Stegostoma tigrinum: one gene and its partner. Each later gene encodes a partner of the first gene's protein in a complex. Links are inferred from orthologs where the notes say so. Each region holds a gene or a part of one and is shown on either strand. Other genes may lie near its edges.

The links. The genes of interacting proteins can lie anywhere in the genome.
Region 2: polr3d (region 1) and polr3f share a complex: the UniProt entries of both Homo sapiens proteins name them as parts of the RNA polymerase III complex. The link is inferred for Stegostoma tigrinum from reciprocal best matches to the Homo sapiens genes POLR3D and POLR3F.

What each region holds. Positions count from the first base shown.
Region 1 is NC_081393.1:16,508,868-16,517,228, reverse strand, and holds the start of polr3d (DNA-directed RNA polymerase III subunit RPC4), read left to right. Parts: upstream 1-5,039; 5' UTR 5,040-5,258; intron 5,259-8,169; 5' UTR 8,170-8,183; coding exon 8,184-8,348; intron 8,349-8,361. UniProt on the Homo sapiens protein: DNA-dependent RNA polymerase catalyzes the transcription of DNA into RNA using the four ribonucleoside triphosphates as substrates.
Region 2 is NC_081362.1:22,718,825-22,726,372, reverse strand, and holds the start of polr3f (DNA-directed RNA polymerase III subunit RPC6), read right to left. Parts: upstream 3,474-7,548; 5' UTR 3,059-3,473; coding exon 3,003-3,058; intron 1-3,002. UniProt on the Homo sapiens protein: DNA-dependent RNA polymerase catalyzes the transcription of DNA into RNA using the four ribonucleoside triphosphates as substrates.

The sequences.
Region 1 (8,361 bases):
TAAATGACACATTCTTCCCCACTTCCTTTCAATATGCAATGCATTATATGTCAATTGCTTCTCACTTATGTCTGAATCGTACCAGTTGTGAGAATGAATGTCAAGGCAGCTACTCTGATGCAGTTTTGAGGGAGCACTGCACTATCAGATGAATGTCTCATATATCAGATAAGACATTTGGACTGAGGCCTGAGCTGTTCGGTGCCCTCCTCGGGGGATGTGAATGATCCGAAGCCACTAATTCTAATAATAGGCCAGTTATCCCTGTGACCTGACCATGTTTATCCTGCAGCAGACATCACAAAAGAGATTGATGTTCATCAACACATCTCTGTTTGTGAAAGTTTGCTGTGTGAAAATAGGCTGATGCGATTTGTATATTGCAACTGAGGTTACCTTTCAAAAAGTATCTCGTTGGTCCTTTAGGACATTCTGCAATTGTGAAAGATGCTGTAAAAGTTCAAATGATTTTTAAAAATTAATTAGCTTCTTGTTCTTTATAGTACTTTATAGTTCTTTAATTGACTTGTTTCTTCCATCCATAGTAATGAAGATATGTTTGCGAGTTTTCAATTTTAAGTGTATGGCAGTGGCAGCAGCCACAATATTGTTACAGTGTACTAAATTGGAGTCACGTACCAAGTAGCTGCTAAACTGGGAATGTGTGCTGAATAAGTCTTACACAAGAAGCTAAAGGGGTTGTGAGAAAACAGGAACGTAGGAACAGGAGTAGGCCATTCAGCCCCTCAATCCTGTCCACCATTTAATGAGCTCATGGTGATCTGTGGCCTAACTCCATGAACCTACCTTTGACCCATATCCTTTAATGCCTTTGCTTAAGCAAAATTCATATAAGAATTAAAATTAATAATTGATCCTGTATCCACTGCCACTTGAAAAGAGTTGAAAACATCTACACCTTTTGAGTGTAGTAGTACTTCCTAACATCACTCCTACATTTAGCCCTAATTCCCAGGCCATGCCCCCTAGGTCTAGAATCCCCAACCAGTGGAAATAGTTTATCTTTATCTACCCTTTCTTTTCTTTGTATTATCTTGAAGCCTTTGATCAGGTCATCCCTTAATCTTCTGAATTCAACAGAAAACAGGCCTAATTTGTATAATGTCTCTTCATAACTTAACTCTGAAGACCAGGTATCATTCTTGTAAATCTACATTTTACCCCCTTTCAGGTTAATATATTCTTTCTCAGATGCCCACAGCAGGTCTTACCAGAGTTTTGTACATCCATAGCAAAACTTCTGCATCCTTGAACTCCAGTCCTCTAGATATAAAGGCCAGGATTCCATTAGGTTCCTTGATTATTTTCTGTGCCTGCTCATGACATTTTAAAGATGTTTGCAACTGAACCCCAAGTCTCTTTGGACAAACACTGTATTTAAGCATCCAGAAAGTACCCTGATTTGTCCTTGTCCAGACCAGAATTACCTTAGTTACCTCTGCAATTTCCCCAACACAGATGTTAGGCTAACTGGTCTGTAATTCCTTGGTTTTTGTCTTTTGCCCTTCTTAAAAAGCAGTGTGACATATTCAACTTTCCAATCCAGAGGGATGAGTCCTGTATCTAGAGAACTCTGAAAGATTATAGTTAGGACATCTACAATGGACTCTCCTATCTGCTTTAACACCCTTAGATAGAAACCGTCAGGTCCTGGGAGTTTATAAGTCTTTAATTCCATTAATTTCCTCAATGATTTACATACATTAATTTTATTCAGTCCCTGTTCCCAATCCACATTTAATTTTCTCAGACTTATGGCAAGCTGTTCTCTTTTTTAATCATAAAAACTCAGGTAAAGCAATTGTTCAACATGTCTGCCAATTCCTAGTGGTCATTGACAATATTCCCACTTTCGGTGAGGTTGCAGGCTTGCTCTCCAAGCCAGCATGTTTGATTGCAGATGTTTCGTCACTCTGCTAGGGGACAATGTCAGTGCGCTGACAGTGAAGCGTTGGTGTTCTGACCCATTTGTTATTTATATGCTTTGGTTTAGTAGGGTGGTGGTATGACTTCCAGTTTTGTTCTTCATTGGTTTGTATATCGGGTCCAGTTCACTGTGTTTGTTGACGGAGTTCCGGTTGGATTGCCAGGCCTCTAGGAATTCCCTGGCATGTCTCTACTTGGTTCGTGCTATTATGGATGTGTTGTCCCTGTCGAATCTGTGCCCTTCTTTTTCCATGTGCATTGAGACCAGTGAGAATTGGTCATGTCTCTTGGTGGCTACTTGGCATTCATGTATTCTTATTGCCAGTTTTCTTCCAATTTGGCCTATGTAATGTTTCTCACACATGGTATTTTGTATATTACATTTGTTGTATTGTTTGTGGGAATGGGGTCCTTTACATTCGTCAGTTGCTGTTGCAGGGTGGTTATTGGGTTGTGATCTACCCTGATACTTAGGGGCCTGAGTTGTCTTGTGGTCATCACTGATATGTTCCTAATGTATGGTTGGGTGACTAGTGTGTCTGGCCGTGTTGTGTCTTTCTGTTGTGGCCTGTCAGAGATAATGCCGCAATGTGCTATTCGAGTATGTACAATCCGAGCTACAAATCTCAAAAACCTTCCCACTTTCAGTCTTTAGTGGGTCAAAATTGTTGCCGACTACCCAATTTCCCTTTATGTAACTATAATGTTTCCTCTTTTTGATTTTGATATCCCTGGCAAGTTTTCTTTCACAGTTCCTTTTACTTGCTTGTATAAGTTGCTTTGTGGTCTTTTGCTGATCTTTGTATCTTTCCCATTCACCGGGATCTATGTTTCTTTTTGCATTTTTGTAAGCTCTTGATTTCAGTTTTATGTCTCTTGACCACTTTTATGTGAAGTGGAGCTTTTCCTCTTTGAGACATAGAGTCCGATAGCATGGAGACAGGCCCTTCGGCCCAAACTGGTCCATGCCAACCAAAATGTCCTACCACACTAACCCCATTTCCCTGCACTTGCCTCTGTCCTTCCAAACCTTTCCTATCCATGTATTCATCCAAATGCCTTTAAATGTTGTTAATGTACCCGCCTCAACCATTTCCCCTGGCAACTCATTCCATATGCGTACCATACTCTGTGTAAAAATATTGCTCCTCAGGTTCCCATGTATTCTTGCCCCCTTGCCTGAAACTGGTGCCATCTTGTCCTTAATTCCCCAAATTAGGGAAAAAGACTGATTGCATTCACCCCATCAATGCCTCTCATGATCTTATAGACTTATATAAGTTAGCCCCTCAGTCTTCTACGCTCTAATGTAAACAGTCCTAGCTTGTCCAGCCTCTGCCTATAACTCAGTCCTATAGCTGAGTCCTGTCAATATCCTTGTAAATTTCTTCTGCAATCTTTCCAGTTTAATAACATCCTTACTATAACAAGGTGATCAAAACTGAACACAATATTTCAAGTGCAGCCTCATCAACATCCTGTACAACTGCAACATAACTTCCCAACATCTATACTCAGTGCCCTCACTGATGAAGGCCAGTGTTCCAAAAGCCTTTCTCACTGCCCTGTCTACCTGTGACTCCACTTTCAGAGAACCGTGCACCTGAACTCCCAAGTCCCTCTGTTCCACTACACTCCATTCACCATGAAACTCCGGCATTGACGTTCCAAAATGCAACACCTCACACTTATCTGTTTTAAATTCCATTTGCCATTTCTGAGCCCAGTTCCCCAGCTGATCAAAATCCTGCTGTAATTTCTGATAACTTTCCTCACTGTCCACGATATCTTCGTGTCATCCCCAAACTTACTATTCTCAATCAAATCATTGATACAGATAACAAATAGCAATGGTCCCAGCACTGGCCCCTGAGGCACACCACTAGCCACCAGTCCGACAAGCATCCTTTCACTATTACTCTCTCTAGTTCTTATCAACAAGCTGACTGTGTATCCAATTTGCCAGATCTCCCTGGGTTCCATGCAACCTAATCTTCCAGAGCAGACGGTATAAACTGATTTTGTATTAAATGTTTCTTTAAACATCCTCCACTGCTCTTTAGTTGTTTTACTCGTGAGCAGATTTGCCTAGTTTACTGTGGATAGTCTCTGTGTCATGTCATTCAAGTCAGTCTTACCTAAATGTAAAACTCTTCATGCTGCTCATAAAGCTGCCTCTGTTTTATGCTTTCAAATGCTGCATCGAATTCAATCATGTTATGATCAGTATTTGATAAACGGTTGTGCACAATTAGGTAACTAACTAAATCTGATTCATTACTCATGAATAAATCAAATTTTGTTTGTCCCCTTGTTGCATTCAGAACCAAATGCTGTAGGAAACTGTCCCAGATGCACTCTGGAAATTCACTACCTGTGTGACGGTGCTTGTCTGCCTCTCCCAATCAATATTAAAGTTAAACTTCCCCCATTAATGCTATTCTGGATTAGCGGACCCTTGCCTTAATTTATGCTGAAATTTCGCAGTTGTGGCAGTATCTGAGGGGAGAGTCATCGAATCCCTACATTGATGAAGTAGGCCATTTGGCCCATCGAGTCCACATTGATCCTCCCACCCAGACACACCACCCTACCCTGTCGTAGCAAGCCTGTACTTCCAATGCCTGATCCACCTAGCCTGCACATCCCTGGGCACTACGGACAAATTAGTCACTGGACTCGACACGTTAACTCAACTTGTTCCCCACTTTTTAAAAAATCAGATCTCCAGCGTCCGCAGTCCTTTGTTTTAATTTTAGTGCCTAATTTCTGTATTTATAAAATCAAGCTGCTCTAGGGGTTCTGTACACATTTACTACTGATGCATTACATGAAAATGGCATCAGATCAGTGGAATGCTGACAGCTGAGCCCCAAAACAAAACTGTTGACGCACTTCCAATGGATGCTACATATTTTTACCCAGTAATACTCCCTATTGTCACTCGCTTTCCGTTGGAGCTCCTTTGCAACAAGATCAATGCAGAGCTACAATTTTCATTCAGTTTCTTCACTTTCCCACCGAACGAACCGGCAACATTGCCTTCAGCGCCGCCCCGCTGCCAGGCGCCATCTTGTTGCGGGGCAAAATGCCGGCCACCTGACCCCCTAGGGCGCAGGCGGAGAGCTGGATTTGCCCCGTACAAACATGGCGGCTCACAGCGGCCTCGCTCGGACGTGAAACGGCTGGAGGACCGAGACGGGAAAAAGAAACAAGAGTAAAGAGGCGGTAATCGGCCTTTGGGGAGAACTCGAGAGCAGTGTGGGCTCGCGGCCGTGCTGCCAGGTTCGAGGATTACAGGCCTTCATCAGGTAACAAAGTGAGAAGCTGGATGAGCACAGGAGGCCAAGCAGCATCTCAGGAGCAGGAAGGCTGACGTTTCGGGCCTAGACCCTTCATCAGATAATTGCTGCCCAGTGATCCAGGAAGCTGTAAGGCCTGAGAGTGCCTAAGGGTAGGGGACGAGGGGTAGGAGCTGGGAAAATGGGAGAGGGGCAAGGTTGGGGAGGGGAAGAACGGGGGAAGAGGAGGAGCGGGGAAAGGAGAAAGGGAGGAGGGGGGTGAGGTGAGGACAGGGAAGAGGGAGGAGCTGGGGGGGCGAGGTTGGGAAGTGGGGGGTGGCGAGGTTGGGAAGTCGGAGGAGAGGGGGAGGGGCAACTGGGGAGAACGGGGAAGTGGGAGGAGCTGGGGAAGTGGGGGGGTAAGGTTGGGGAGGGGAGGAGGTGGGGAAGGGGGCAAATGGGGGAAGAAAGAGGAGCTGGGGAAGTGGGAGGGGGCAAGCGGGGGAAAGAGGGAGGGGCTGGGGAAGTGGGGGGGGCAAGCGGGGGAAAGAGGGTGGGGCTGGGGAAGTGGGGGGGGCAAGCGGGGGAAAGAGGGAGGGGCTGGGGAAGTAGGGGGGGCAAGCGGGGGAAAGAGGGAGGGGCTGGGGAAGTGGGGGGGGCAAGCGGGGGAAAGAGGGAGGGGCTGGGGAAGTGGGAGGGGGCAAGCGGGGGAAAGAGGGAGGGGCTGGGGAAGAGGGAGGGGCTGGGGAAGTGGGTGGGGGCAAGCGGGGGGAAGAGGGAGGGGCTGGGGAAGTGGGTGGGGGCAAGCGGGGGGAAGAGGGAGGAGCTGGGGAAGTGGGAGGGGGCAAGCGGGGGGAAGAGGGAGGGGCTGGGGAAGTGGGTGGGGGCAAGTGGGGGGAAGAGGGAGGAGCTGGGTAAGTGGGAGGGGGCAAGCGGGGGGGAAGAGGGAGGAGCTGGGTAAGTGGGAGGGGGCAAGCGGGGGAAGAGGGAGGAGCTGGGTAAGTGGGAGGGGGGAAGTGGGAGGGGGCAAGTGGGGGAAGAGGGAGGAGCGGGGAAGTGGGAGGAAGTGGGAGGGGGCAAGCGGGGGGAAGAGGGAGGAGCTGGGTAAGTGGGAGGGGGGAAGTGGGAGGGGGCAAGTGGGGGAAGAGGGAGGAGCGGGGAAGTGGGAGGGGGCAAGCGGGGGGAAGAGGGAGGAGCTGGGGAAGTGGGAGGGGGCAAGTGGGAGGGGGCAAGTGGGGGGAAGAGGGAGGAGCGGGGAAGTGGGAGGGGGCAAGCGGGGGGAAGAGGGAGGAGCGGGGCAAGCGGGGGGAAGAGGGAGGAGCTGGGTAAGTGGGAGGAGGCAAGCAGGGGGAAGAGGGAGGAGCTGGGGAAGTGGGAGGAGGCAAGCAGGGGTAAGAGGGAGGAGCTGGGGAAGTGGGAGGGGGCAAGTGGGGGAAGAGGGAGGAGCTGGGGAAGTGGGAGGGGGCAAGTGGGGGGAAGAGGGAGGAGCTGGGGAAGTGGGAGGGGGCAAGTGGGGGGAAGAGGGAGGGGCTGGGCAAGTGGGAGGGGGCAAGCGGGGGGCAGAGGAGGAGGGGGGTGAGGGGAAAGGGGCAAGCGGGGAGAACGGAGAAAGAGGGAGGAGCTGGGGAAGTGGGAGGGGGGTAAGGTTGGGAAGGGGGCAAGGGGTAGGATGGGGGAAGAGGGAGGTGCTGGGGAAGGGGGAGGTGGGTAAGGATGGGAAGGGGGAGGGGGAGGGGGAAAGGTTGGCAAGGGGCAGGTGGGAGGGGATATTGGCAGGGCAGTGGAGATGCAGGGAGGGGGATTGGCTGGAGGGGAGCTGGGGAGCAAGGAGAGATGGGGGACTGTGGGAGGGCGGAAGGGAAGAGGAGGTGGGGGAAGGGGGAGACAGGGAAGGAAGGACGGATTGGGGAGGGAAAGGAAGGGGTTTAGGAAGGAGTAGTGAGAGGAGAGAAAGCAGCTGGGGAAGAGGTGGGGAAGGGAAGTTAAGGGGAGCTATAGGATGTTGGGTGGAAAGGAGGAGGGAGGGGACAGTTGTTAGGAGTGTTGGGGGATGGCGGAAATTGGGATGGGGAAGACCATTTGGAGGGGCTGGGGAGTTGAAGCTTCACAAAGACTGGTCTTATCACGAAATCCTCTTTGATGTTGGAAAGCATCCAGCTACGCAAAACATTTACATCCGAGCCTAATTTTACCTCCCTCCCCTTTTAGTTCTGCCAAGGTCGTCCCTAGTTTTTGATTGTGGTTGGGGTGTAAATCCAGTCGGATGCTTTGTCTTAGACGGGTTCAGTTTCTCGAGTGTTGTGTATAAATGTTTACCCCAAGTGTCTCAAAATATTGAATCAAGTAAACAAAACAAAAGTTGTTTGGAGCTGTGTACTGTAAGATTCAGTGAGACAGCACAACTGAAAGACTGGCTGAAGCTACATGGCAGCTATTGCCTTGCTGTTGGAAGCTGGAGTCTCAGCAGATGTAAGAAAAAGGCAATCCCCTGAATATGTCGATTGAAAATATTTGCCTCAGAATGGCAGCACCACAGTCTGCTTCTTGTAGCACTCTGTTCCTGGCTGCTTGCGTTACATCACTTTGTGCTTCTGCAAAGAGTTGGCATCGATTTGATGGGCCAAATGCAGTGTTTCTGTGAGCCACTCTGTATTCCACAGTGGCTTTTGATCTGCTGTTTTATGATGTCCATGGCAGAAGCTTGATCCTGGCTGTATTCATCACAGCAGCATTTTGGTTCTTTGACCAGCTTGGAGCAACCTCTGCAGAGGTTGCCAAATTTGTGATAATACATATGCCCACGGTTATGGTAAAGCTTGGAGATTCTCCTGTACAGGTATGCCCTCAGATGAGGTTCTAAGGCTCTGGTTTTGTGAGATCTCCTCTGTTCCCCAACTGGCACAGTTTTTGCCGCGGTACTAATTTGTTCTTTGTCGTGCAGATTGCGAAGCAGCGATGTCTGAGCAAGGCCCCAGTGGAGGTGCTGGCCATCCCAGCACCATCAGGCCCGCTGTAACAGTAGCTAGGGGCCTGCCAGGTCGACGGAGCTCTGCCACCGTTACCCCAGGCCGCCTGCCCTCCATCCGCTCACGGGACCTAACACTGGGAGGGATGAAAAAGGTCAGTACCATTT
Region 2 (7,548 bases), on another chromosome or scaffold:
AATATGTTTATTTTTTGTATATTCTACAACTAAAATATTTTATTTAAATTTTTTTTTAAAAAAAATTAGTGACCATGCCTTCAGTTGCCTAGGCCACAAACTCAACTCACTTCCTACATGGGGTTGAGACCCAGGGAGATAAGTGTGGAAAGAGAGCAGTCTGAGAATGATACAGTCGGGAAATGGAGCAAGTCAAACAGTTGGGGCAGGCAGGAACAAAGTAGAGAATGAGGAAGGACTGATATGTTAAACTGCATTTATTTCAATGCAAGACACCCAATAGGTAAGACAGATGAACCCGGGGCATGGTTAGAAACATGGGATTGGGATAACATAGCAAATATAAAGAGACGTGGCTCAGGGGTGGACAGGACCAACCGCTTGCTGTTTTAACAGCATCGATGCTATAGGAAGAATGGGGCGGGGGTGTGGGGGGAAAAAAAAAAGGAGGAGAGATTGCTGTGGGGAGTGGTGGTGGGAAGAGGGGACGGGTATTGGTGTTTATGTCCAGACGGGTAATTTGGGTGGAACTGAGAAGAAAGAAAAGAAATGACAAACCTTATTGGGATCGTAATATAGATGTCCCCGGTAAATCAGCAGGAAATTGAAAAAAGAACAACTTTGTACGGAGGTGTCAGTTATCTGCAAGAATAATAGGGTGGTTATGGTAGGGGATTTTAATTTTCCAAAAGTGGACTGGCACTGCCAGAGTGTTAAAGGCTTGGATAAAGAGGAATTTGTTAAGTATGCACAAGAAAATTTTCTTATTCAGTATGAGGATGTACCTACTAGAGAAGGTGCAAAACTTGACCATCTCTTGGGAAATGAGGCAGCGCAGGTGACTGAGGTGTCAGTGGGGGAACACTTTGGGGCAAGTGATGATAATTAAAATAGTGATGCAAAAGGATAGACTGGATCTAAAAGTTAAAAGTTTAAATGGAGCTAGGGCAATTTTGATGGTATTAGGCAAGAACTTTCAAAAGTTGATGGGGTCAGATGTTCGCAGGAAAAGGGATGGCTGGAAAATGGATAACATTCAAAATTGAGATAATGAGAGTCCAGAGACAGTATGTTACTGTTAGGGTGAAGGACAAGGCTGATAGGTATAGGGAATGCTGGATGACTAGAGGTTTCCATCAAGAAAAAGGAGGAAGCATACATCAGGGATACATAGTAGAGATCGAGTGAATCCCTAGAAGAGAGTATAACAACAGTAGGAATATACTGAAGAGGGAAGTCATGACGGCAAAAAGAGAGAGACAGGAACGTGAAATAGCTTTTGCAAATGTAGTTAATGAGAATCCAAAAGAAATCTAAAGTTACATTAAAGACAGAAGGGTAACTAGGGAGAGAATACAGCCACTTAAAAATCAGCAGGGCTACCTACACGTGAGACCACAGGAGATGGAGCAGAAACTAAATGAGTATTTTGCATTAGTGCTCATTGTGGAGAAGAATATGGAAGTTAGAGAACTTGGGGGATAAATAGCACCATCTTGAAAAATGTCCATATTTCAGAGGAAGAAGTGTTGAATGTCTCAAACACAAAATGTAGATAAATCCCCAGGACCTGATCAGGTGTAATCTAGAACTCTGGGGGATGCAAGGCAACAGATTGCTGGGACCGTTGCTGAGATACTGTATCAATAGCCACAGGTGAGGTGTCGTAAGACTGGTAGTTGGCTAATGTTGTGCCACTATTTAAGAAAGGAGGCAAAGAAAAGCCCGGGATTGTAGACCAGTGAGACTGGCATCAGTGGTGGGCTGAGACAAGGTCTTATTCCTGGGTGGATGTGTCTAAAGTTAGACAGCATAGGTTTAAGTTGAGAGCAGAGAGATTTTTAAAAAGAGACCTAAGGGGCAAAATTTTCATGTAGTGTGGTTTGTGTATGGAATGAGCTGCCAGAGGAAGTGATGGAGGCTGGTACAATTACAACATTTAAATAGCATCTGGATGGGTACACGAGTAGGAAGGATTTAGGGCCAAACGCTGGTAAATATGACTAGATTTATTCAGGATATCTGGTCAGCATGGATGAATTGGACTAGAGGGTCAGTTTTCACGCTGTATATCTCTATGCCTCTGCCTCTCAATCATTTCCCACTCCCACACCCCTCACTGAGCTTTTGATCATGAGGCTCCCCATCATATTTTGCTCTATAATGTCTGTGAAGTGCTTAAGGTTATTCCATTACATTCAAAAAGGTGCAACATGGAGAAGTTTAGCATCTGTGGAGAGAGCGAGACAACATTTTGAGTCAGGTATGCCTTCATCAGAACTGAAAACTGGAAATGTTTTTTTTAAAAAAATACTTTTTGACAAAAGACAGTCGATGAGCAAGAGCGAAGATTGTATGGAGGCCCAAAGCAAAATACAAGAGGGTTGTTAATAGTGGAAAAGATGCAAGGGTTGTATGGTGGCTTAGTGGTTAGCACTGCAGCCTCACAGCACCAGGAACCCGGGTTCGATTCCAGCCTCGGACAACTGTGTGGAGTTTGCACATTCTCCCCGTGTCTGCGTGGACTTCCTCCTACTGTCCAAAGATGTGCAGGTTAGGTGGATTGGCCTTGCTAAATTGCCCGTAGTGTTCAGGGGTGTGTGGGATGCTTCAAGGGGCGGTGTGGACTTGTTGGGCCGAAGGCCCTGTTTCCATACTGTAGGTAATCTAATCTAATCAAATCAAAATGTCAGCTTTTGTGCTCCTGAAATGCTGCTTGGCCTGCTGTGTTCATCCAGCTTCACACTTAGTTATCTTAAATCAAAATGTGAATTGAGATGTGAAAAGCAGCGAACTGACCCTTTCTACTAAGTGCAACGTAAGCAAGACAAACAACACGGCTAGGAGATGCGGCGAAGACAGAGGTTAAATACTCTCATTGCTCGAAGTCTTAAAAGCATGGAAATTTTCATAGCATCAGTGACGACCTTTCTTCACTCAGAATTTTTACAACGCGAAAACGGCCCCGACCTTGTCATCGTAGCCAACCACACAAAAACTACCTGCTTTCCAGTCCCACAGAATCTACTGCTTCTTGCTTCACTGTCACGTCAGCCATGATTTCAGTTGTACAGCATGACAATATATTGGTGGCTGAAGGGTTTGTTTGCGGATCTGGTCTGTAGCGGTGCTGACTGGCCCCCTCGGTCCGATATTGCAATTCTTGCGTTTCAACGTTGTATCAAACCTCAGCGTGAATGTTCCAAATTGCACGCTCACCCTCCAGCTCCGGGGTAAACGATCTACAGCAGCAAATTACTTCAGCCTCTTGAACTAGGGGACCTTTCATTCTGCAGTCTCAATCTCTTATTGGGCAAGAGATTCATTTGCCAGTCTACACTCCTCGCTTCCCGTCGTTAATTACAAGCAGTTTTTTTTTTCTGCTGCCGTATCTTACAAGACAGTTCTGAAAATAGTGAAAGACCAAAGAGGCACACGTTTAGTTCAATAGATAGCCTTCCCCAGCTCGACTTTTCTTCCTCTCCGGCAATCTGAGAAGCAGCTGTTTAATTTGAGCTGGGGCCTAACCAGGGTTTGGCGCTTTTGCGGACTCTGTTCGCCCTTTGAAACACAATCACGTGACAACACGTTTACCATCCCTCCGGGAGTAACCTGGGAGCGGAAAAAGGATGCATTAAAAATACATTAATTTAGTTTACGATTTAGCTTTGTTTTGCATGGCAAGTCGCTTTATGTAGGATATATTAATGGTGCAGCAAGGTTAAACAAAAGAAACTGGTCAGTAGACCCGAAACGTTAACTCTAAATTTTTCTTCAGAGGCTGCCAGATATGCTGAGCTTTTCCAGCAACCTGTTTTTGTAAACAAAACTGGATCTCATTCACTAGTTAGATTTAAGGCAATTTAATAACGGGAGCAAGAGTGAGGAAGAATAAGTGTAATGTGACTGAAGTTTAATTTCACATTAGGCGCACAAGAAAAAGGCGGGGGTGAGGAAGAGAAGGAGAAATTTCGGGTTAAGAGCAAGAGCAAACAAAGTAAAAATAAAATGCTTGTAAATAATTCGCTGAGCCACACAGTTACTCCCATCAATTTAACACTTACCGGATTAAAGTGTTGAGAGACTGATCACTAAACTTATCTTTATGTGGTGACTTCAGTTTTTATTACGGAATTGCAGCAACTTCACGCCACCAATAACTGTGAAGACAGCCGTTTACTTGAAACCAACTGGAGTACCATAACCCAGCAACCTTTTGGCTCTTTTAGTTTTTAATCATGCATCTTCTCCTCACCTGAAGCTATTTATGCAGAGCACCTACATTTTGTATTATTATTTATACAAGTTCCATTTGGAAGTTAGTCCAAAATCCAATTCCACCACCCCTTCAAGTTAATGCATTTCAGATTCAAATTCTCACATTAAAAAGATGGGACAAGGAACAAAGTTTTTTTGGGGAATACAAATAAATCAATCACTGGTAATCTAAATATTTGTCAAAAAAATTAAGCATTAAGATACACTGGATACTGCAAAGGCTAGAGGCCCTGACAACGTTCTGGCAATAGTACTGAAGACTCATGGTCCAGAACTTGTTACTCCCCTAAGCCAAGCTGTTCCAGTATTGTTACAACATTGGCCTCTAACCAAAAGTGTGGAAAATTGTCCACAAATGTCCTGTACACAAAAACAGGACAAACCCAACCCAGCCAACTACTACTCCATCAGTCTATTCTCAGTCATCAGTAAAGTGATGAAAGGTGTCATCAACAGTACTATCAAGCAGCACCTGCTCAGTGACAACAAGGTGTAGAACTGGATGAACACAGCAGACTGAGCAGGAAGGCTCATGTTTCAAGCCTAGACCCTTCTTCAGAAGTCAGGGAGGGGAAGGGGGCTCTGAAATAAATAGGGAGAGAGGGGAGGGGGGGGGGGTAGAGGATGGAGAGATGAGAAGATAGGTGGAGAGGAGACAGGCAGGTCAAAGAGGCAGAGATGGAGCCAGTAGAAATGAGTGTAGGTGGGGAGGAGATAGGTCAGTCCAGGGAAGACGGACAGGTCAAGGGCGTGGGATGAAGTTAGTAGGTAGGAGTTGGGGGAGGGGCTTGAGGTGGAAGGAGGGGATAGGTGGGAGGAAGGACAGGTTAGGGAGTTGGAGACGAGCGGGGCTGACTGTGGAATGTAAGGAGAGGGGAAATTTTGAAGCTTGTGAAGTCCACATTGATACCATTGAGCTGCGGGGTTCCCAAGCGGAATATGTGTTGCTATTCCTGCAACCTTCAGGTGGCATCATTGTGGCACTGCAGGAGGCCCGAGGTGGACATGTTGTCTGAGGAATGGGAGGGGGAGTTGAAATGGTTCGCGACTGGGAGGTGCAATTGTTTAGTGCAAACCGAGCATAGGTGTTCTGCAAAGCAGCCCCCCCCCCAAGCCTCCGCTTGGTTTCCCCAATGCAGAAGAGGCCATAACGGGAACAGCGGATGCAGTATACCACATTAGCAGATGTGCAGGTAAACATCTGTTGATGTGGAAAGTCTTCTTGGGGCCTGGGATGGGGGTGAGTGAGGAGATGTAAGGTCACGTGTAGCGCTTCCTGCAGTTGTAGGGAAAAGTGCTGGGTGTGGTGGTGCCGGAGGGCAGTGTGGAGTGGACAAGGGAGACACAGAGAGAGTGGTCCCTCCAGAAAGCAGATAAGGGTGGGAAGGGAAAAATGTGGAGTGGTGGGGTCGGATTGCAGATGGCGGAAGTGTTGGACGCTGATGGGTTGGATCTGGAGGTTGGTGGGGTGGTATGTGAGGACGAGGGGGATTCTGGTTTGGTTGTTATTGTTGAGAGGGGGTGTGAGGGATGAGTTGCGGCTGACACGATCGAGGGTGTTCTCGACCACTGATTGGGGGAAGTTGCGGTGCTTGAAAAATGAGGACATCTGAGATGTACGGGAGTGGAATGCCTCATCCTGGGAGCAGATGCGGTGGAGATGAAGGAATTGGGAATAGGGAATGGCATTTTTGCAGGAAGATGGGTGGGGGGAGGTGTATTCTAGGTAGCTGTGAGAGTCGGTAGGTTTGAAATGGATCTTGGTTTCTAGGTGGTTGCCAGAGATGGAAACAGAGAGGTCCAGGAAGGAGAGAGGGGTATTGGAGATGGTCCAGGTGAACTTAAGTTTGGGGTGGAAGGTGTTGGTGAAGTGTATGAACTATTCAAGCTCCTTGTGGGAGCATGAAGCAGCGCCGATACAATGATCAATGTAACGGAGGAAGAGGTGGGGTTTAGGGTCAGTATAGGTAGGTAAGAGGGATTGTTCCACATAACCTACGAAGAATTCTCGGTTCGCACTAAACAACTGCACCTCCCAGTTGCAAACCATTTCAACTCCCAGTTCCATTTCTCGGACGACATGTCCATCCTGGACCTCCTGCAGTACCACAACAATGCTACCCAAAGGTTACAGGAACAGCGACTCATATTCTGCTTGGGAACCCTTGTTTGTTCAAATATGAGCAAAACAGCTGAATTCCAGAGGTAAGGTGAGAGTGTCAGCCCTTGATATCAAGACTGCATTCAACTGAGTGTGGCATCAAGGAGCCATAGCAAACTTGGAATCAATGGGTGTCAAGGGGCAAACTCTCTAGTGGTTGGATTCATACCTGACACATAGAAAGATGGTCATGGTTGCTGGAGGTCAATCAAGGTGAGTAACTCATCTGACTCCTCAAAGCCTGTCCACCATCTACAAGGCACAAGTCAGGAGTGTGATGGAATACTCCCCACTTGCCTGGATGAGTGCAGCCCTAACAACTCTCAAGAAGCTTGACACCATCCAGGACAAAGCAGCCCACTTGATTAGCACTACATCCACAAGTATCCACTCCCCCACCACTGATGCTCAGTAGCAGCAGTGTGTACTACCGACAACTTGCACTGCAGAAATTCACCAAAGATCCTCAGACTGCACCTTCCAAACTGACAACTACTTCCAACTAGAAGGACAAGGGGATCAGCCATATGGGAAGACTACAACCTCCAAGCCACTCACCATCCTGACTTGGAAATATATTGCCGCTCCGTGACTGTTGCTGGGTCAAAAATCCTGGAATTCCCTCCCTAATAGCATTGTGGGTCAACCCACAGCAGGTGGACCGCAGTCATTCAAGAAGGCAGCTCATCACCACCTTCTCCAGGGCAAGTAGGAATGGGCAAGAAATGCTGGCGAGCCAGAGATGCCCAAATCCCACAAATGAATAAGGGAAAAAAATGGTTTGATACAGCTTTAGTGAGGGAATTCCAGATCTTCAGATGTAGACAGCCTGAAGAAGGTTATTACCAACAAAACTTCTCAAGACTATAAAGTGTGCAAAGAAAACACATGGGTCCATTATGGAAAGAATAAAACAACAATCAACAGGTATTATTACATTTTTATTGAACTTTGCTTGCATAGTTGGAGTACTCCATCCAAATTTTGGTCTTCACATTGCAGGAGGGATAGTGAAGTACTGAATAAATGCAGAAAAAAAAACACTGGGGTGATCGGATTTACAGAATTAACCAGATGTTGATATTAGAAAAAATGATCTAGTGATTGGT